Linked DNA regions of Pelodiscus sinensis. The protein of the gene in region 2 purifies or fractionates together with the protein of the main gene of each other region. This does not show direct contact. Links are inferred from orthologs where the notes say so. Each region holds a gene or a part of one and is shown on either strand. Other genes may lie near its edges. The genes, in order: ERC2 and RIMS1.

Region 1 (11,651 bases), on a different chromosome or scaffold from region 2:
AAAAATGTATGTATGATACATAGGTTCCTGGGTTTTCTCATCTGCATCATAATCTTGTGCCACTAAAATGATCCTTAAAACCCACACAGCATTGTAAACGTGCAACCCACTAAGTATTCATTCATTCATTATATAACTCCAAAATAATACCCTGTTAGTCTGACTGATTTCCTTTTCCCAGTCACAAAAAGAAAAAAATAAATCCGTTTTTTTCCTGACAGTTTGTCTTTTTTTTAAAAAACCCATCAAGCTTTACAAATTATATGGGCTACAAAGCGAAGAAATTTCAATTCACATCAATTCCATGCTAGGCTTTAATAAAATAATAATATTTGTAAACTGTTTACAAAAATGACAATTATATGGCTGATTTTAGGTGAAATTGCAAGAAAGGTATGTAGATGATGGTTCTGTAGGGAGAGGCACATATTGCTACTAGAATAAGATTGCACTTGGTCACATTTATGGCAATGTATTAAAGGGGTAAAAAAAGCCTTTTTTGCCATTTCTTTCTTAATTTTCAACCACTACATAATTTTAGACAACAATATATAACAATTTTGTTAATTTAAATTAATACACAAAAATCTATTATAGCCATATTCTTGCTTAAGCTTCTCACCTTTCAAATCATTGCATCTGTCTTTCCTCCTCACATGGATTTTACAACATCAAGTCTAGCTGATAGCTGATTACACAGAGGAAAGAGGCAGCGTGAAGAGCTGAAGCAGGCGAACATTTAAGAGGCGAAGGAGAGAGGGAGTCTGCTGCAGTCAGAAGAGGTTTGTGTATTTCCATCCCTCGTCTTTCTGTCCCTCAGCGAGTCTCCCTCAGTAAGCTGCGAGCCTGGCTCTCTGGTTTGCCAGTCCCTGACTCAACATTCCCAGCATTCCCGAGGAGCTTGGTTTTCAGTAGAGCTGAGCAACCTGCCACAAGGGGCAGCAGTAAACTCCCCATTAACAGAGCAGGAAGCTCTGGCAGCAGAACTACAGGCACTGCAAACCCATGGATTTCAACCCAAGTATTTCTCTCTGTCCACTTATTTGCAGACCCAGTGCTTTCACTTTCCCTATTTAATATGTGTGAGTAGGAAAGGAAGCAGAACTGATGGGACAGCCCAAAATTAAATAGTTTGCATGCAGAACCGGTTGTGATTAAACTGTTCTCTTGCCTCTGCTCATTAAAGGCCAACATTTTCAAACTATGTAGCAAGGCTATATTAGATATCTGCATTAGTAATGGACCCGCATCTGATTAGTAAAATACATACACATGTGTATGTGTCTCTGTCTATATTTTGGCCTAAAGTAAAAATGAATTTGAGACATCCAAATTAGTTTTTATGGGAAAAATAATTAACACTGGAAGGAGGGGAGAATAGGAAATTAGTTATTGTAACTCCCAAATTAAAAGATCAAGTATATAGAATCCAATTTATTTCACAAAAAATGTATTATGTTGCAAAGTGCATTAAGAAATTACCTATTTTATTTAAAAGCTTAAGCCGAGTTAGTCTGTAACAGGAAAAACTTAAAAAACAAATAGTCTGGTAGCACTTTAAAGACTAACAAAACATGTAAATGGTATCATGAGCTTTCATGGGCAAAACCCATTTCTTATCTTTTTTAAGTTTTTCTTATTTTATTTAGTAATTTATTTAGTAGAGTGTTGAATCAGGAAAATATCACTTAAAAATAATTTGTTTCCTAGCTCTAATCATTCACTTTCCATGTTGGGGAATGTACTTTTTCCTTTCTACTTTTCCCATTTGCTCACTATAATATTTTTGTGGTCTGCATTACCATTTGGATCATATTATGACAGATTTACCTCAGGCTACAGCTTCAAGACTTCTCCTTCACTCCAGGAATTTCACAGATAAATCACTGTCTGCATCTTCTTAACCATGTTGCTGTAGGAGGTCTTCACAGAGCACTTCAAATCTGTATTTTATTTTCTTCCTGGGTCACACATATAGGTATACAGACACTGTTGAAGAGTCTTGCTTGGGACAGATTTTGTGGCATTTCTGTAATAAAATATTACACCCAATGAAATTGATTTCAGCCAGTCATATCGCAGACTGATTTAATCCCTTCAGTAGAATGGCATTTTCCTTATCCAAAGCCAAAAGAAAAAAATTCTGTTATGAATATTCATTCAGAGATGATACTATTCAAGACAGTGCTGGAATCCAAACAAACAGGACAGAATGTAAAAAGGATGAGCCTCCTTGCTGCATATATGTCTTTTAGTTAAAAATACACTATGGGATGGAAACCCCCTTTTTTCACCTGGGGCTCAGGATAATACTAGAATATGTAAGGTGACCATTTTTAAAGGGACAGTTTTCTTCCAGGTGTCCTGACTTTAAAAAAAATGGGCCAGTTGTCTCGTTTTTCCTGTCTCTCCATACCATCAGTACTGGTGGGTCCATTCTGATGCTGGCTAGATCATTGCTCATCAGCTGCCCATCCACAGTGGTGAGTGGATGGAGGGATGGATCCAGTTGCTGTTGATGGGGCTGGGATTGCAAGGCAGGAGGCTGGGTACAGCTGCAGCATGTGGGACCAGCCAGTCCCTCTGCTGGTCCATCAGTGCAGTCCCTGCTATGGTGTCTCCTCTTGACCAGCAGTCCTCCTTTACCCCCAGTCCTGTTTCCAGCTAGCACTGGTTGCTTGCTGCAGTGGTTGGTGAGTGTAAGCTGGCAATGGCCAGTTATGTGTCATTTCTGCTGCACACCACATACTGCCCTTTACATGCTTCCCCTGTCACTGTCCTCTCCCTGCTGTGGCCATTCATCCTCCAGCCCCGCTGCTCCTCCATATTCCCCCCAGCTTCTGGCACTGTGTGGAGAATCAGATCCAGGAGAAGCCAACCCTGCATGTGCCAAAGCCCCACACAAATCTGGGATGGGGAAGTTTCTCTGCCCCTCAACTAAGCTCTGCAGTGGTGGGTAGGAAGCTATTTCCAGACTTTTTGCGCCCCAACCCTGCAGGCTCCACAGCAGCCCCCTGGGCAAGAGCATAGTACCCTCATGTTAAGCGGGCACATGTTAAATGAGGAATTACTATAATTTCCAAGCCCCAAACAATAAACCTGACAGACTACCTAAACTTTTTCCTAATCTCACATTCTGATGAATCCAGCAGATCTGTTTTTGGGGAAGTTTATGTCTTCCCTCCATGCCTGGAGAAGATTCCCCTCTCTCTCTCTAACAAAGGAAACTGCTTCTCCCAATTTGAAATTCTTTAGCTGCATTTCATTGACTCAATGCCCAAAGCCCCCTCCCTCAGGTGCAGAATAGCTTAAGGTTAGCTTAACCCTTTCCTCGCTCTCCAGATAAGTTAGGCTCTCCTTTGAAGCTCCCATTCATGACAGCCCTTTAGGGTTGGGAGACCTAGTTTGAGAAAGTGTCATTGGGGAATCCCCAAGTGCAGCCAAAGTCCAACATGGCCACAAATTTGTGGCAAACTATTTCCCACAATTGCCACTGAATAGGCCATAGATAGGGCTATATCAAATTCACAGTGCCTTCTCGCCAAATTCACAGCCAGAGATTTTCCAAATTGGTCAAGTTCACAATTTCAGATTTTTGTACACACACAAATACTCCTGGGTGAAGGCATGGAGGAATAGAAAAAGGAGAAAAGAAGCAAAAGAAGAAGAGAAAGAGGGAGGGAAGGAGGAAAGGGAAGCTGAAAAGGACAAGCACCCAGTGTCCCTAGTGATTCTATGGAACACATTCCTTAATAGGAAATCAAATCACCTTGCCCTAATAATTTCTATACCTAAAATTCAGCTAGTATTTGGTGGATCAGACTAAACAGATTCCAAATCTCTCTGAGGGCATGTCTGTACTAGGAAACTATTTTGAAACAAGTTAGTTCAAAATAGTAACTCCCAAAATAACTCATCCACACTATAAGGCACCATCGAAATAGTACAGAATTATTTCAAAATAGTGTATCCACATTGAATGTCCACACTAACACTATTTTGAAATAACAATTTCAAAATAAGCATCATTCCTCATGACAAGTAGGAGTTATTATTTCAAAATAACCAGCCCCTTATTTTGAAATAATGGGGTTGGTATTGTGGACACTCCACTTGTTATTTCAAAATAACTCCCCAGTGGAAACCAGGCCTGAGGTTCTTACCTCCTAAACAGGGACTACAAAATCAGTAGTCGGGAAGGAGAAAATTCCAATCAGGTTGGTCCTCATGCTCATGTACATTAATCCTAATTCTCTCTTAGTCCCCAAGGAGAGACCTTGCTAGGGAGCCTTGCTGCTGCCAAGCCATGAGAATCTCTGAGGCTGCCTCTGCCTTGTACTTCAATCCTGACTGGCTGATATCAGAGTCTCTTTATGAGGTCACCATCTTCCCACCACCATCCCCCAATAGTCTGAGGTCCTGCAACAGGCCTTTGTGATGTCACTGCTACATTCTCCCCTCCCTTACGAGGCTAGTGTCCTGACCCTAGTTCGCCTCTTTGAATGCTTGAGTGACTTCCTCTGGGTCATCCACTTAATGACAACTGAGTCTGGAGATCCCTTTCTATGCTGCACTCAGTTTTTACATTAATTAGTAGACTTTAAGGTCAGAAAGGACCATTAGAGCATTGAATCTGACCCCTGCATATCCCAGCCCTCCTGTATATTATCATAGCTAAGTTTTGATTCAAGCACACACCAGAAAGTCATCTAGTCTTCATTAGAAGACATCAAAAAATGTGGAGTCTGTCACTTGCTGTGGTAGTTTGTTCCAATGGTGAATCATCCTCACTGTGAAATATTTGTTCCTTTTTTCTAATATGAATTTGTCTGTTTTCACCTTCCAGCCAGTGGTCTTGTCTTCCTTTTTCTGCAACATTAAACAGCCCTTTAATACTTGACATTTTCTCTTCAGGAACGCATTTAGACACTTCAATTAAGTTCTCTCTCAGCCTTCTTTTGTAGAAGCTAAAAAGATTGGGCTCCTTTCAATAGCCTCCAAGAAGGCATTTTTCTTTAGCCGTCAAAACATCGAGTTCTTTGCTGACCCATCTCCAATTTTTTAACATCTTTTTAAAATGTAAGCCCTAAAACAGGTTGCAGTATCCAAACTCAGTCTCACTAATGCTATGTCACTTCCCTAATCACTCCTCTGCTCATATGTCTATTGATGGCTTTTGCCTTATTCACCACAGTATCGTCCTGGGAGCTCCTGTTGAGCAACTTGTCCGGCATGAACCCTAAATCCTCAGAGTTGTTGCTTGCCTGGGTACAGTTCCCCAGTCCAAGGATGTAGCCTGCGTGCTTTGGGGCTAAGATAGGACCTTACATTTGGCTCTGTGAAAACCTGTTTTGTTCACATGGGTCCAGCTTCCCAAAGGATACAGATCACTCTATATAACTGTCCTGGCGTCAGCCTTATCACTTTGCTCATATTTTGTCACTCACATATGTCACCAGCAATGATTTTGTATTTTCTTCCAGTTTATTAATAACAATTATTTAAACAATAAGTTCTGGAGAGCCTCTTTAGACCAGTATTATCAAGTATATGCCCTTCTCTGAATAATTTCCTGTTCCACAACTGGACAGAGTATTCTGGGTGCAGGTGTTCTATGGATTTATGTAGTGGCATAATGGGATTTTCTGTTTTATCCCTTTCCTAATAATCCTTAACATACCGATAGCGTTTGTGATTGCCACTGCACAAAAAGTAGAAACTTTCAGAGAATTACCCATGGTGAGTCCAAGATCTCTTTCTGGCATGGTAACAGTTAATGTAAAATCCATTATTGTATCTGGCTATCAACAGGGCATTCAGTGGACACCTTTCAAACAGTTAGAGGACATGGATTTTGTTGACGCTGTTGCCCTCCTTTCATGCCAACATGAAAGCATGGAAGAAAAGGTCACAACACTAGATAAAACTGCCTTAATGATTGGACTGAGCATTAACAAGAGAAAGACCAAGACAATGAGGATCAACCAATCCAACAACAACGTCATCACACTGGGAGGGAATGACCTGGAAGATGTGGAACAGTTCACTTACTTGGGGAGTATTATGGGCAGAGCCAGAAGAACATACCAGGATATCAGTGCTAAGACAGGGAAAGCAGCAGCTGCAATTAAGACTCTTTGTCCCATATGGAGCTCACAAATAATATCTGCGAAGACGAAACTGCAGATCTTCAACACAGATGTGAAGAGTGCACTCTTGTATGGAGGCGAGACCTGGCATACTAAAAAGTCTTCAAATCACAAGCTACAGACATTCATAAACAGATGCCTGAGGTACATCCTTCGCATCAAATGGCAAGACTGTCACAAATGAGGAGCTTTGGAACAGAGCAGGACAAAAACCAGTTGGCATTCAAATCAAGAGAAGAAAGTGGGGAATGGCTGGGCCACACTCCCAGAAAACCATCATCCAACATAGACCATCAAGCGCTCACATGGAATCCGCAAGGAAAACGCAAAAGGGGAAGACCTTGGACAACGTGGATAAGATCTACTGAGATTGAAGGACAACAGCTAAGGTACTCCTGGAGTCTGCTAGAAGTTTTGTCTCAAAACAGAGTGAAGTGGAGGAGACTTGTAGATGACCTATGCTCCACTCGGAGTACAAGGGTTTAAGAAGAGAATTTGCATAGTTGGGATTATCATTTCCAATTAGCATTACTTTTCACTTTTCAATATTGAATTTCATCTGCCATTTTTGTTGCCTTGCCACCCAGGTTTGGGAGATCCCTTTGTTGTTCTCAGTCTGCTTTGGATTTAACATTCTTGAGTATCTCCAAACTGTTATGCTTCCCTGTGCACCGCACGTGCTCTTTTAGACTGTTAGTGAATATGTTGAAGAATACAAATCCCAGTCCCAGGGTATGTCTACACTACCCCGCTAGTTCGAATTGCTACTTTGTGCTGACAGAGCATGTTGCTAAATCTGTCCCTAAACATTTATAATGTGTTCACTGCCTTGCTAACACACCAGATAGTTTTCAAATCTGGTAGGCTACGTCTACATTGGCCCCTTTTCCGGAAGGGGCATGGTAATTTTTGAAATCACAATAGGGAAATGCGCGGGGGATTTAAATATCCCCCACGGCATTTAAATAAAAATGTCCGTCGCTTTTTTCCGACTTTTAGAAAAGCCGGAAAAGAGCGTCTACACTGGCCCCGATCCTCCGGAAAAAAAGCCTTTTCCGGAGGATCTTATCTTAGTCAAAGTAGGAATAAGATCCTCTGGAAAAAGGGCTTTTTTTCTGGAGGATCGGGGCCAGTGTAGACGCTTTTTTCCGGCTCTTCTAAAAGCCGGAAAAAAGCGGCGGACATTTTTATTTAAATGCCGCGGGGGATATTTAAATCCCCCGCGGATTTCTCTATTACGACCTGTGAAATTAACATGCCCCTTCCGGAAAAGGGGCCAATGTAGACATAGCCGTGATGTTTAAAAACTCTGTTTCCCGTTGGTGTTGTTTGTTTGTTCTTTGCATTTATCCCATCCTGGATGATAAGAGTGGATTAGTCAGTTTCATGGTTTGATGTTCATGAACTACCGTATATTCCGGCGTACAAGACGACCTCTGATGTTAAAAAACATCCCCCAAAAATCGGGGGTCGTCTTGTACGCCGGATGCCCCGCCGCCGGAGCCCCTCCGCGGCTTTGAAAGCCTCGGGGGAAGCCGGCGGCGGGGCATCCCAGGCGCGCATGGGCTGCCCCCCCGCCGGAGCCCCTCCGCGGCTTTGAAAGCCTCGGGGGAAGCCGGCGGGGGGGCATCCCAGGCGCGCATGGGCTGCCCCCCCGCCGGAGCCCCTCCGCGGCTTCGAAAGCCACGGGGGAAGCCGACAGCGGGGCATCCCAGGCGCTCATGGGCTGCGCCCCCGCCGGAGCCCCTCCGCAGCTTTGAAAGCCTCGGGGGAAGCCGGCGGGGGGGGCATCCCAGGAGCACATGGGCTGCCCCCCCGCCGGCTTCCCCCGAGGCTTTCAAAGCTGCGGAGGGGCTCCGGCGGGGGGGCAGCCCATGCGCGCCTGGGATGCCCCCCCGCCGGCTTCCCCCGAGGCTTTCGAAGCCGCGGAGGGGCTCCGGTGGGGGGGCAGCCCATGCGCGCCTGGGATGCTCCCCCGCCGGCTTCCCCCGAGGCTTTCGAAGCCGCGGAGGGGCTCCGGCGGGGGGGCAGCCCATGCGCGCCTGGGATGCCCCCCCGCCGGCTTCCCCCGAGGCTTTCAAAGCCGCGGAGGGGCTCCGGCGGGGGGGCAGCCCATGCGCGCCTGGGATGCCCCCCCGCCGGCTTCCCCCGAGGCTTTCAAAGCCGCGGAGGGGCTCCGGCGGGGGCGCAGCCCATGCGCGCCTGGGATGCACCCCCCCGCCGGCTTCCCCCGAGGCTTTCAAAGCCGCGGAGGGGCTCCGGCGGGGGGGCAGCCCATGCGCGCCTGGGATGCCCCCCCCCCGCCGGCTTCCCCCGAGGCTTTCAAAGCCGCGGAGGGGCTCCGGCGGGGGGGGGGGAGCCCAGGCGCTCCTGGTGGCTTTGCTCCCGGTGCCTCTGGTCTGCTGGGGACCATCTCCAGCAGACCAGGGACACCGGGAGCAAAGGAGGCGGAGGGGCGCTGGGGTATAAGATGAAACCCTATCTTTTAATTAAAAAGATAGGGGGTCGTCTTATACACCCAGTCGCCCTATACGCCGGAAAATACGGTAGCCAAATGCAGCACTGTTGAGTGCTGCCGGTGAGGTTCAGAAGTTTGAAGCAGTCTCATGGAATTTATACTTTTAAAGATTTTGTGGAAACATCTTCAGTGCTGGAAATGGTTAGTGGATGGGGCTCAGGACAGGCCCTCAGGAAATGTGAGCAATCTTCCTGAACTGGCTTGCTGAGTGGTTTGGTCAAGTCATTTCCCCTCCCTGGGCCTCATTTGGCCTACCAGTAAAATGAGAAGAATGACCCTGCCCTCCTTTTTACAACCCTTTGAGGTCTGCTGATGACCAGCGCTGTGTAAGAGCCATGTATTATGAAATGTGTTCTTATAGGACTGGACTGTGTGCCTTTTGAGCCTGATCATTTCTCATCACAAGCTCAGGCTGTATATGTGAACGTGGGTAAATGCTAGGTGCAGCCCTCCTGCCAGGCCCTTCACCTTACTCAAAAGAGGGTGGGATAATAAAAGAGCAGAATGCCAAGGGTGAATTTTTGTGTCTGACATGACCAGTGTTTAAGCATGTACCTCCTGATGCTAATGAGCAGTTAGCTCCATACTAGGCAGGAGAGACCTGCTGACTGTGCAGCAGCTTTCTATTGAAGACCCTCTTGTGTACAACACTTGGTCTTGTGCACCTGGCACTCTGTGCATGCCCTGCACAGTGCTCAGCCCTCAGTTTGTCTGAAATCTGCTGGGCCTAGCTGGGGCAGAGCTGCAGGGAAAGTGTGTTTGGGAGAAGCCATGATCATTATATGAGGTGAGGCAATTATGGGGTTGTTTTCCTGGTGCTTGTGTTCCCTATGACTACTGTGATGCTCTGTTGTTCTCTTCTCTCAGCAAGTAAGCTGTTCATAGGGCTGAAACCGTCAGGGACTCTCCTGAAGGCAAGCTGTGTTAGTGGATTAGTTCCATTGTCACCCCATGGGGGAGAAACAGTGGGTCTTATGGCATGTCCTGGGTAATCCTGCTCTGCAGTATGTCTACACGTGCAAAGGGGGTTGTTCAGGATCAGTGGACACTGCTCGCTAGTGATGCCAGGCAGATGGGTACAGTGTTGTTCTTATATCTCTGTGCATATGGTGAGTGGCACCAAGAAAGTGCCACTGCAGCATAATACCACTCTTGAAGTCCAGAACACCACATAAATCCCCTGTGCCAGAGGGCCACAGAGCTCACTGGAGAACTCATGCATTGGATCTCAGGCAATGTGGATGGAGTCCAAGGCATAAAGGATCAGTCAGCAAAGGCTTTCCTTGCCAACCGATCCCCATCTTGACTGCTTTTTCGTGCCGACAAACAGCTGAGCTGGCACAACACGGCGGCCATTTTTATTCTAATGAAGCGGGGGATATTTAAATCCCCGCTTCATTGACTATGTCGGTATGTATAATTTACATGCCTTGGTCGGCAGAGGCATGTAGTCTAGATATACCCTGAGTGTTCATTTCAATGTCCTGAAATGCTACTGTTCCAGAAGACTGGACCAAAGCTATTAGTGTGCCAGAGTTTAAGAAGGGTACATAGTATGACCTGGGTAACTATAGGCCTGTAATTCAAGCATCAGTCCCAGCAAGAGAATGGAGTGGCTTTTACTGCTCAAAATTAATAAAGAATTAAAGGAGGGGAATGTAATGAATGCCAATCAACATGGGCTTATGGAAAATAGATCCTGTCAGACTACATTGATACCTTTTTTGGTGAGATTGCAAGTTTGAGAAAGGAAATAGTCTTGATGTAATACACTTAGATTTCTGAGAGGCCTTTTTATTAAAAATTTCAAAAAAATGGAAAAATTCACATGGCATACATGCAGTAGACTAAAAGCTGCGTAACTGAGTTCCTCAGAGAGTGTGACTGGTGAGCAGGGTAGAGCTGCTATTTAATATAGATATTATCTCCACCATAAATTGCCCTTAAATCTGGCTTCCCCCACTGCCAGGATCCTGATCTGTCCCAAGTGCTGAGCTCTAGGACAGGATGTCCACCATCAGTAAGTGTTTCCTCAGAATCACTGAAGCACCTCTTGGCTGTCTGCTGCCCTGTAACGTAGGGTATGTCTACACAGCAAAGTTATTTCGAAATAGCAGCTGTTATTTCAAAATAACTTTACTAGCATCTACACAGCCAACCCGCTATTTCAAAATTAATTTGAAATAGTGGAGCTCTTATTTTGACGTAAACCATGAGGAATAACGCCATATTCGAAATAGCTACAGGCAGTCCCCGGGTTACGTACAAGATAGGGACTGTAGGTTTGTTCTTAAGTTGAATCTGTATGTAAGTCGGAACTGGCGTCCAGATTCAGACACTGCTGAAACTGACGGCCAGTTCTGACTTACTTACAGAATCAACTTAAGAACCCCAGGCGTCCCCAAGTCAGCTGCTGCTGAAACTGATCAGCAGCTGATTCCAGGAAGCCCGGGGCAGAGCAACTCTGCCTGGGGCTTCCTGTAGTCAGCGCTGGTCAGTTTCAGCAGAAGCTGACTTGGGGACGCCTGGGGCAGAGCAGGACCAATCGGCAGCGCCCCAGCTGCTCTGCCCCAGAGTCCAAAACAAAAGCCTGGTCTGCTGGGGGGGGGAGCACACTAGCTGCGCCCCCCCCCAGCAGACCAGGGACACGGGGAGCAGAGCCGCAGCGGCAGCGGGGTGCCGCGCCTCTGAGGCTTTGTTCTGGCAAAGCCTCAGAGGCGCGGGACCCCGCCACGGCTGCGGCTCCAGTCTGGGTGCCTGTGGTCTGCTGGGTCCCCAGCAGACCACAGGCACCCTGACTGAAGCCGCAGCCGCGGGGGGGTCCCGCGCCTCTGAGGCTTTGCCAGAGCAAAGCCTCAGAGGCGCGGGGAACCGCCGCTGCTGCCGCTCCAGTCTGGGTGCCTGTGGTCTGCTGGGGACGGTCCCCAGCAGACCACAGGCACCCGGACTGAAGCCGCAGCCGCGGGGGGGGGGTCCCGTGCCTC
Region 2 (10,860 bases):
ATTAATTATTTTTACTGGTCTGTGCATTTCATAAATGTCCCTCTATTCTTAAATCTAATTATTTGGGTCATGAGTTCTAAAATGCCTATCCTGCTTTGGGTGGAATAATTATAATTACTTTTATTACCATATTGCACTTTTTCATTCATTATTTAAAGCTGCACAATCAAATAATAGTATCCGTCTAGAATCTAGATATATCTTGTACTCACCTTAGCAGTGCATGCTTTTTTTTTTAAGATAGCTGAACGCATAACCTTTGGCACTGGGCAGATGAAGGTCACTTAGTTTCAAACTGTATTTATTTTAATTATATCTATAAAATAATGTAAAATTCATATGAAAATAAAGGTAGTTCTAGGTCTGATATTAATAGTATTAGTGGAGTCAAATGTTAAGTGATGTACACAATTATGGTTGATAAACATAAATGCCAGTATATTTTTTTAAATTCCCATTCTTAAAAAATGGAGTAAAACCCTTAATCATATATGTTAAAATAAGTATATATGTTTTTAGTGGGATAAAAACAATTAAAGTAAAGTAAACTATGTCAGTAACATAGAATGTGTCTGTTGGGCTACATCTTCATTGGCATGATCTTGCTCAAATACTCTTTAATGCAAGAGTTCTGGCATGTGCCTTTGCACAAGAGATGTGCTTTTGCACAAGAGCATCTGTGCCAGTGTAGACACTCTCTTGCGCAAGAAAGCTCTGATGGCCATTTTAGCCATCGGGCTTTCTTGCGCAAGAAATTCATGTTGCCTGTCTACACTGGCCTCTTGCGCAAGAACAGTTGCGCAAGAGGACTTATTCCTGAGTGGGAGCATCATAGTTCTTGCACAAGAAGCCCTGATTTCACACATTAGAATGTCAGTATTCTTGTGCAAGAACTCCCCGCCAGTGTAGACAGGCAGCATGTTTTTGTGCAAAAGCAGCCGCTTTGCACAAGATCGTGCCAATGTAGACACAACCTTGGAGTAAGTAAGCAGAATTTATTTATTTTTATTCATCTCTGCTAAGATAATATACAAGTTATCAAACTTGCAGTTCTGATATTTGTGTTAAGACTCCAGAACTGATACCTGGAAGCCTGGGATTGGAAATATCTTGCTGTTTTATTTTCTGGTTGAACTAAACTTAAAATACGGATTTAATTATTGTTTGTGTGTATATATTATATATGTACTTATAGGAATAAATATAATGCATTTTATAGAGAGATATAGATAGATATGAATTAGATACAGTGCTCCTGTCAGCTTATTTCCAAAGTGTTATCTGCAAAAACAAGCAAACAAAAAACCCTATTAGGGTTTTCAGATACCTAAGTAGTCCCTGGAATCACAGTTAAAATTGCCTCCCCCCAGCAAAGTTTGAAATGGACCCCTGACTTCCTCCCTGCTGGATTCACTTCCTCAGCATATGCAGCTGCACATGATCTGCCTCGGGCTGAGGGTGCTTAGGTTTGCAGACTGGCTGGGGTGCAAGAATCACATAAACACATCCCCCTTCCCACTCACCGCCTCCTCTAGCTGTTGTTAGGGACAGAGCAGAATGTGTCCTGTATTGCTTCCTCTACATCACCTGTGCTCAGTTAAACCTTTCTAGCACTGAAGCCCACTACTTCAAGTTGAATGCAGTGTGCGTTCTTGTACTGTGACTCTGAATTTTCTAATCTTCCAAACAGCCTCCTTTGCTATGTTCAAAATGGCTGTTAAAATATAATACAATACATTTGCTGATGTAAAGTAATTAGTTATTAGTGTTTTAACCAGTATTTTTTCTGAAGTTTGTGTTTGTTTATTGTTGTGATTAGTTCATTTATTGGCTTAGGATTTTTCCTATTGATTTTCTATGAATAAATATTGCATCAGTAAGCTACCATAGATTAAGTTTAAAACTTTCTGTATATATTTGTATTCTCCTTTTGAGGATAACAAAGATAAAACATGTTTGAGTGTGTTACAATATTAAAAAGATAAAACTAAAACAATCAAGTAAGTGTGCCCACAAGCTGCATGGTGCAGCTGCCCACGCAGCCTCTAACATTCTCTCTAGCCCACTTCTACTGCCTGACTGAGAAGAGGCTAGAGTTGCCCTTGCACGTCTTGATGGCTCTTTATTTGTTTAGTAGTTATTCATACAGCAGTATAAAGACTAGTTTGACTAGTTTGGTCTATCACGAATGGGCTATAACCACTAATGAAATAAAACAGAAGTTTATATTTGTATATATGTGTTCATTGGATTTACCTTAAAGGACTTTCCCTTCATACTGGTTTTTCAACTATTTGAATGTATCAGCTTGTTTAATACAAAACAAATAACTTGTTATATGCACCTTTGTTAAAGGTTAGTTATATCAATCAATCATATTTCTATTTAAAATAGACAGAATGATCTGAACTGTCTGCAGTACTCTTTAGGGCCAAATTGCTTTGGCAATTACATTTCTTCATACTGCATAATGTCTGTTGGGCTTTAGATACTGTCAATTTTCAAAAACAAAAACAAAACCACAAAATTGTATATAGTTATTTAAGTCTTAATTTCCACCTTTTAGATTTCTAGTATACCTTGTGATACTCTATCAAATATTATAGCTTGTTCTGTTGTATAGAGATTATTAATTTACAGACTTACAACTGGACAAAAAATAAAGTACAAGAGAGCAATTTCACAATTTTGCAGGAGTTTGTGGCTATCTAGCTAATTAGCTGTTGAGGTTACTCAAATGGTTTTTCCTCTGTGTGAAACACAGAAATAGTATCTTCAGTTGGATATTATTTAAAGCTAAGGCCTAAATTGGACCAAGGATTCTGTCATATGAAGGGTTGTATATAACAACATTAGTAATAAGTTCTATATTTTGTGTTGTCACTAATAAAGATATTAGATTTCAGAAAGAAAAAAGAATAAACACACAAAGGAAGGAAGACAAAATAAGTTGAATACATTTATTAATAATAAATACAATCAACTTCTCTGTCTCAATTTCTTTTTATTTACATTTAAATACCAACATTTTATGGCACAAGATGATACATAAGAATTATTGTTACTGATGCACGTATTTGAATGACACACAAAATTCAACCATAATTCTTCTAAGATTGCCAGTCACTGTTTGGTCTACTGTATACACAAACAATTCTGATAAAGGGCTGGGAATTAGGTGACAGGCAATACATCACTTGATGGTTACCTGTTCCGTTCATTCTCTCTGGAACTCCTGATATTGGCCACTTTCAGAAGACAGACTGCTGAGCCAAATTGACCTTTGGTCTGAACCAGTATAGCCATTCTTATCCTACTTAGCTTGCGAACAGGAATAGCTAACGGAGTTTTGTGAGGTGGTGAAGGTGAAGGAGAAATGATTACAGGATGTTTGGGCTATGTCTACACTGTGCATTGTTGCACAAGATGATATGCAAATGAGGCGTGGCGATGAATATCACCATGCCTCATTTGCATATCTAATGAGCCGCCATTTTGCGGAAGTGGCTTTTGCGCAAGAAAGAGCTCTCTACACTGCTTCTTCTTGTGCAAAAAAACCCTATTGTGCAGGAGCCGTTCTTCCTGAAAATAAGTGGCAGAACAGCTCCTGTGCAAGAGGGTTTTTTTGTGCAAAAAGGAGCAGTGTAGACAGCTCCTTCTTGGGGAAAAGCCCCTTCCGCAAAAATGACGGTGCATTGAGTATGCAAATGCGATGAATATCACCATGCCTCATTTGCATATCTTCTTGTGCAACAATGCGCAGTGTAGACATAGCCTGGGGGTAAGTGGCTGTCTGTAGTGTGTGTGTTTGTGGGTTACTTGTTGGTTGTCTGAAAGATAGTGTGTGCTGAGCTTGTGTGTGTTTGTTTGTAGATCCATCTGCTGAGCTGTTTGTTTGAAGGACCACATGCTGAGGTCAGCAGCTGGAAGCTGTGAGCTTCTTAACAAGGATTTGAAATCTAGAACCTCTGTTCATTGGTCAAGCCTTAACTGCGGCGTGGGGCTATCAAGAAGGCCTGGGCTATATAAAGCTCACTAGTAAGCAACCAAGGAGCTAGTGACCAGGAGCAACTAAAATTTGGCTATGTCTACACTGCAGAGTTTTTGCATAAAAACAGCTTCACAGGTGATTAATCAGCCCTGCCCAGTAAGTCAGTTCCCTGCACTGAGTCCTGAGCCTCAGACTGGGAGGGGCTGATTGATTACCAGAGAAGCTGTGCTGCCATGCAGCTGATAGGGAACACTGGTGATCCTGGTAATTACAGACTGGTAAGTCTAATGTCAGTACCAGGCAAATTAGTTGAAACTAGAGTAAAGAATAAAATTGTCAGATACATAGAGGAACATAATTTGTTGGGGAAAAGTCAACATGGTTTCTGGAAAGGGAAATCATGCCTTACTAAGCTACTAGAGTTCCTTGAGGGGGTCAACAAACATGTGGACAAGGAGGATCCGGTGGATATAGTGTACTTAGATTTCCAGAAAGCCTTTGACAAGGTCCCTTACCAACTGCTTCTAATTAAAGTAAATTGCCCTGGGATAAGAGAGAAGATGCTTTTATGGATTGCTCTCTGGTTAAATGACAGGAAACAAAGGGTAGGAATAAATGGTAAGTTTTTAGAACAGAGAGAGGTAACTAGTGATGTTCCCTAAGGGTCTGGACTGGGACCAATCCTATTGAAACCTATTTATAAATAATCTAGAGAATGGGGTAAGCAGTGAGATGGCAAAATTTACAGATGATACTAAACTGCTTAAGATAGTTAAAGACCAAAGCAGACCGTGAAAAGCTCCAAAAAGACCTCACCAAAGTAAGTGATTGGGCAACAAAATGGCAATTGAAATTTCATGTTGATAAATGTAAAGTAATGCACATTGGAAAAAATAATCCCAGCTATCAATACAAAATGATGGGGATTAATTTAGCTATAACTCCTTGAGAGAGAGAGAGATCTTGGAGTCATTGTGGATAGCTCTCTGAAAACATCCACTCAGTGTGCAGCAGCAATCAAAAAAGCAAACAATGTTAGGAATCATTAAAAAAGGATAGAGAATAAGACAGAGAAAGTCTTCCTTACTGCCTCTATTTAAAACTATGGTACGCCCACATCTTGAATACTGTGCACAGATGTGGTCGCCTCATCTCAAAAAAGATATATTGGCATCGGAAAAGGTTCAGAAAAGGGCATAAAAATGATGAGGGGTTTGGAACAGGTCCCATATGAAGAGAGATTTAAAATGACTGGGAGGTTTCATCTTAGAAAAGAGGAGATTTAGGTGGGATAAGATAGAGGCTTATAAAATCATGAGTGATGTTGAAAAAGTGAATAAGGAAAAGTTATTCACTTGTTCCTAAAACATCAGAACTAGGGGTCACCAAATGAAATTAATAGGTAGCAGGTTTAAAATAAATCAAAGGAAATTTTCCTTCACGCTGCGCACAGTCAACCCATAGAACTCCTTGCTAGAGGATGTTGTGAAGACCAGGACATTAAACAGGGTTCAAAAAAGTACTAGATATATTCATGGAGGTTAGGTCCATCAATCGCTATTAGCCAGGTTGGGTAGGAATGGCGTCCTTAGCCTCTGTTTGTCAGGCGGGAAATGGATGACAAGAGTGGGATTATTTACTAATTCTCTGTTCTGTTCACTTCCTCTGTGGGATCTGGCATTGGCCACTGTGAAAGACAGGATACTGGAATAGATGGACCTTTGGTCTGACATAGTATGGCTCTTCTTATTTTCCTTAGGTGGCTGATGATTGCATCTGATGTATTACTCAGAGGTATCAACAGGCCGGCTTCTGAGGAGTTACATCAGCAGGACAGACCTAGTGAATCACTTTTATGTGTAATGAAGTGGGGCAAATTCTGTGCTCCAGTCTAGCAGAGCTCGTCAACATTGTGTTTAGTTTAACTCACCTATGTTGCTGTCTGTTCTGGAGATGACTGGTTCCTGATATACAGGTTACTCTACATGATGCCCAGATGCGTTCCCTGGACATGGTGGAGTTTTTCCTCTGGTATTCCGGAAAACCCCCGTAGTCTAGATATAGTCTCAAGATGGAGAAGCAGTTGCCTTTCATGAATCTTTAGAATTTGCACCACTGTAGGGAGGCCCTTCATCTCAATAAATGATTTGGTTTTTTCCATAAGGAGTTTGAACTATAACATATTTAAGGTTGTTTTTGGAAGGCATGGGTAGGGGAGCCTAGGAAGAATGAGTCTGAAGAGTGCAGCATGCTACACCCTGGTTCAAGAAGGGGAGCCCACTGAGAGCATAAAACCCGCAGCTAGGGCAGAGGAAGAAGAATTAGAGTTCATGAAGTGCCAGGCTGCAATGTAGGAGCCCAAGAAAAATATCAACATGTTCTGGTGAAAGCAGAGAAACCAAGAAATGACTGGCATACTGAACACAGGTCTGGGTCAAAGTAAAGTCCTAGATGGAGTACCTGCAGCCTTACCCTAAGTCATAGGAGTCTGGGCAGCAAGTGTGCAGTGCCAGACTGTGGTCAGGGGACGTGTGTGCAGTACAGACACATACCAACAAAGTGATGTGGAGCTCTGGAATACCATGCTGACCTGCAGTGGGGAGCCAGGTATCAGCCTGTAGCACTGGTGTGCAGTGAGAAAGCTGAGCCAGAGAGGGATGAAGTGCGTGTGGACACTGCTCAAGGCAGGCAAGGGGGCAGGGCACCAGCTGAAGAGTCTGGCAAGGCTCAGCGGCCCTTAACCAAGGCTGATAAAGAGCATAGGAGAAAATATCCTCCCAGTAGCAACTCTGGAAAATGTGTGGCCCCAGGACAAGCCCGGGGACCCAGGACGAGTGGTGGGAGTGGTTCAGGTCCAGGGACTCCACAGCCGGTGCAGCTCAGCTCGAGATAGCGAGAGCATCATCCAGGAGCGGAGTGGCTTGGACTCCGCCTAACTGACACCCAACTTCCCCCTCCCTCCTCAAAGCCAGCAGCAGCAGCATCCGCCCTTCTCCTCCAGCCAGCCCTGTGCGTACCGCCTGCCTGTGCACACAGCCTGCTAGCTGCAATCCCGAGCCCCTCTCCCACCCAGGGAGGATGGGCTGCAAGAGGCAGCAGGAGGGCAGCCCCAACCCTGCCTAGAGCTGGGCAAACAAAGGGAGCAGCAGCAGCCGGGCTGGGGTGGATGCAAGCAACCATGAAAGGCTGGATCTCCGCCTCCGCCGCCGCTGCTGCCGCCGGAGAGCTGCTGGCTGCTGCCGCCGAGGAGCAGAGGGCTCCGCTGTGAAGGGAGGAGGCGGGATTGGTTTTGCCTCGCCAAGGTAGAAGGGGCAGGGGCCAAGGCGGCAATAAACATGTCTTCTTCGGCGGGGCCCCGCGGCCCTCGCCCCCCCACGGTGCCTCCCCCGATGCAGGAGCTGCCCGACCTGAGCCACCTGACCGAGGAGGAGCGGAACATCATTCTGGCCGTGATGGACCGGCAGAAAGAGGAGGAAGAGAAGGAAGAGGCCATGCTCAAGTAAGCGGCCGCCCGGCGGTCACTCAGGCGGGGCGGGGGCGCGCGGCCAAGTGGCTGGGCTGCCCCGACTCCGGCCCCTGCCCCGGGTCGTGCCCTGCACAGCCCCCACCTCGCGGCCCTGAACTTCCTCCTCTTCCGCCCCACCCATGGGGACCGCCTCCCGGCCCTGCGGGAGCCTCCTACCTGGGGAGACCCACGGGCAGCGGGGGAAGCGCCGAGAGGGGGGCCTCGCCCCACAGCCCCGCCGGGAGAAGCAAAGGGCCCCCCGGGCTGCTCCCCTGCGGGGCGCGCTGGAAGAGGGGAGACCTTGCCTTATGGGGGAAACCCCCACATTTGGGGAAGGGATTCCTCTGGGGGCTTTAAAACCCCGCCCGTTACGGGAGGGTAATGGGTGGGGTTTCCCTAGGACTGAGCCTTCAAAAAACACCATGCTGCCCCCACCTGGCTCCGTGTGAACGGAATCCTGCCATTGGGGAGCGCAGCAGCAACCTGCCTCTCCCTCCGCTACTTGCACCCCCTGCGGGGAGGGTTTCTCCAGCGGGGCTAATCTTCCTCTTGGGACCCCTTCTTCTGCCTGGCTGCTGCTGTACACTGGGCAAGGATGGGGTTGGGAAGCATCTGGTTGTCTTGATGTGGGAAAGCACTGTGTGTTCATAATTAGGTACCCAGCTCCTTAAGGAGGGCGAGGTTTATACCTGTGTTGGTGGGCTAGAGAGGGAATTGTGGATTTATTACACTGTTGATTACACAGAGAAAGATGTAGGAGGCTCAGAGTGTCGATGGATGCCATATTTGGAAACTAGTCTCTCCTGCCTCTGTTGCACCTTTTATCTCCCCCACCCTTCTTCCTTGCAAAACAACACCTATGTGACCTCATTTTCTATCCTCCTCCATTAGCAGCAGGCTTCAAATGTAATGTTACTAAATTGCCTCCTGTGAGTGATGAGACTAAACAGATTGAGTCTGTGGCCTGAGGAAGACAGCCACCCTCCAGGCCTATTCACTTTTGGATGGAAATGGCAGAATAGGTAACTGATTACAGACAAAGCTCTTCATGTGATCCAGAACCTTTCTATCCTGTAAGGTGTGTCCTCGCCTTGCTGTTTCCCATTCCCTGCTGTGTGTTTGGAGGATAGGGCTGGTGGCTTGCACAAAAGGTGTGACATGTTGTGTGCAGGGTTTTTCTTTTGACTGTATCAGAAATAATCAGTTTTAAGGCGTGTGTTCCAGTTTTTATGCTTTCCCTTGTAAGCCAACAATGTAATCTATAATGGATAGAAATATTGAATCTTTGTAGTCTCTTAACCTCTGTGCCATATATTGCAAACAATTTGAAGCTGATGGCAATGCTTGATTGTGCTGTTGTTTCTGTCCTTTAAAATCAGGGCTGGGATTTGCATTTTTGCAGTGGCTGCTGCTGCTGGTATTAACTGCAGAAATGTACACTGAGGCACATGAGCTAGTGATGCTTATCGCCTGGGACCTGGACTAAGAATGGGGGTGTGGCACCGAGAGCTGAAATGGGGATGAAGAGTTCAGTTCACTGCTGCTATGGTTGTGTGTGGCGGGGTGTGGTCGAGACTTTATTGGGGTTGGAATAAGAGCAGATTTGTGAAACTGCACTCTATTAGCCAACGTAGGGATAAGCATTTAGGGTCACTTTCGGTGTCTATCCTTCATAAGAGAATTGAAAAGAAAATGCTTGCAAAATGCTATAAACTACGTTACTACTCCTCTCCAGTCTCTGTCCTCTACTTCTCTGCCCACCACTACTTCCATATAAATGTTTAGGTGTTATTCTGTGGAATATAGCATTTTTAGTCCCATGTCCATTGCTAGAGCAAACTTTTTGTTAGGACATTTTTTTTCCAGTGCTATAATTGCTAAAGGCAAGGTAAGGGATTTCTTCACTGCTTTCATATTAGCATCTGGGAAGTCTGGAACAATGTTTAAAATGTTTCCCACAAGGGTGCTGAAAATCTTCAAAGCTTTTGCTAAAAGACTTGGGGCAAACTTAATTTTTTTGTGCAGGTCAGAAATTGCCCTTTGTGGATTCTGCTTAAAAATTGGGTCTCTCTATATTGCTTTAGACATATACTGAAAGGGTTTTTTACGCCAAAAAGAATTTCTTGTTATTTGGTCCGGTAACATTTTTTTTCAAAGATGTCTGAATAATAGGTAAGACTTTGCATCAGGCTGAGAAAAATGTGATTTTTAGATAGCTGGAAATTCAGCCTAGTCATAGTATGAGGGTGAAAGCTTATAAACTTTGCTAAATAGTTTATGGGAATTAGGTCAGAGTCAGTAGTTTTTATCTAGTTATGATTTTGTATGTTGTACAGAACCATTATATCTTCTAGAATCATTGTAATTTTCTCTTATCTAGCCAACACTACACTTTTTTTTCTGGGACACGAATTATACATCTTATTCCTTATAGATAGGAATAGGATACCATTCTGAACAAGAATTTCCTGCCCTAATTCTGAAGAGAGGTGTATGCGTTTTACACACATGATGGTGTACACACATCTCGGTAATAAATCACATAGCCATATTATTTATTGTGAGTCCTAGACCATGTTACCTGCCCACTATCTATTAATCTGTCTCCAGCAGGAATAGTTCTAACATTCCAAATGTCTGAGCAGCTTCAAACAGCTATTGGTTTTCTTTTTAAAATAATCTGATAAGGAAATGTTTCCTTCCGCAGCACCCACATCCCAAATATGGAACATCCTCTCAAAGTAATGCTGGCCTGAGATGCCAAATGGACAATATTCATTCCTGGACCAGTGACAGGTTTTCTGCCCAATATCTCAGTATGGAAGATGGATGCACAAAGGAACAGAATTAAGGTTGCTCAGGCAAACATAAATCTGGCCACTTCCTAATTTTTGAGTGTTTGATTCTGCAAAGTAAATAATATTTTAAATATAGTTTTATTGTATGCAGTACACGTGCAAGCTTTATGAGAAATGGGACTCTGAGATGAACACACTAAAACTGTGTAAAGTCTAAAATGCAAGATTGGATTGCACTGCTGGATCCAATCTGAAATTTTGAAAGCTATGTCTTTGAACCCACTTTTACCCATGCTTTTGACACCGGGTAAAATAACTTCCACTCTAATTATATTATGCAGAAAATCTGACTAGATGATCACAACAATCCTTTCTGGCCTTAAAATCTATCAGTCTGTAAGGTAATGGGTATCATTGGTGGCTAGTAGGAGGGATAGTGTAAAGGAGGAGGGGGAAGTGTAGAGTTCTTATATAGGAACTCCCCAGAGCAAAAGGGTGTTATAAATCTAGATTTTGATGAAAATTCTGCAGAAGAGACCACCTTTTTAATATGCTTTCCTTCTAAT

Evidence for each region.
Region 1: the proteins of RIMS1 (region 2) and ERC2 purify together in Homo sapiens (affinity purification with western blotting; 3 studies listed by BioGRID and IntAct, with this or other methods). This does not show direct contact. The link is inferred for Pelodiscus sinensis from reciprocal best matches to the Homo sapiens genes RIMS1 and ERC2.

The regions. Positions count from the first base shown.
Region 1 is NC_134721.1:27,838,572-27,850,222, reverse strand, and holds the start of ERC2 (ERC protein 2), read right to left. Parts: upstream 4,303-11,651; 5' UTR 4,164-4,302; intron 2,030-4,163; 5' UTR 1,831-2,029; intron 783-1,830; exon of another isoform or gene 677-782; intron 1-676. UniProt on the Homo sapiens protein: Thought to be involved in the organization of the cytomatrix at the nerve terminals active zone (CAZ) which regulates neurotransmitter release. Seems to act together with BSN. May recruit liprin-alpha proteins to the CAZ.
Region 2 is NC_134713.1:52,870,894-52,881,753, forward strand, and holds the start of RIMS1 (regulating synaptic membrane exocytosis protein 1), read left to right. Parts: upstream 1-6,211; 5' UTR 6,212-7,326; coding exon 7,327-7,490; intron 7,491-10,860. UniProt on the Homo sapiens protein: Rab effector involved in exocytosis. May act as scaffold protein that regulates neurotransmitter release at the active zone.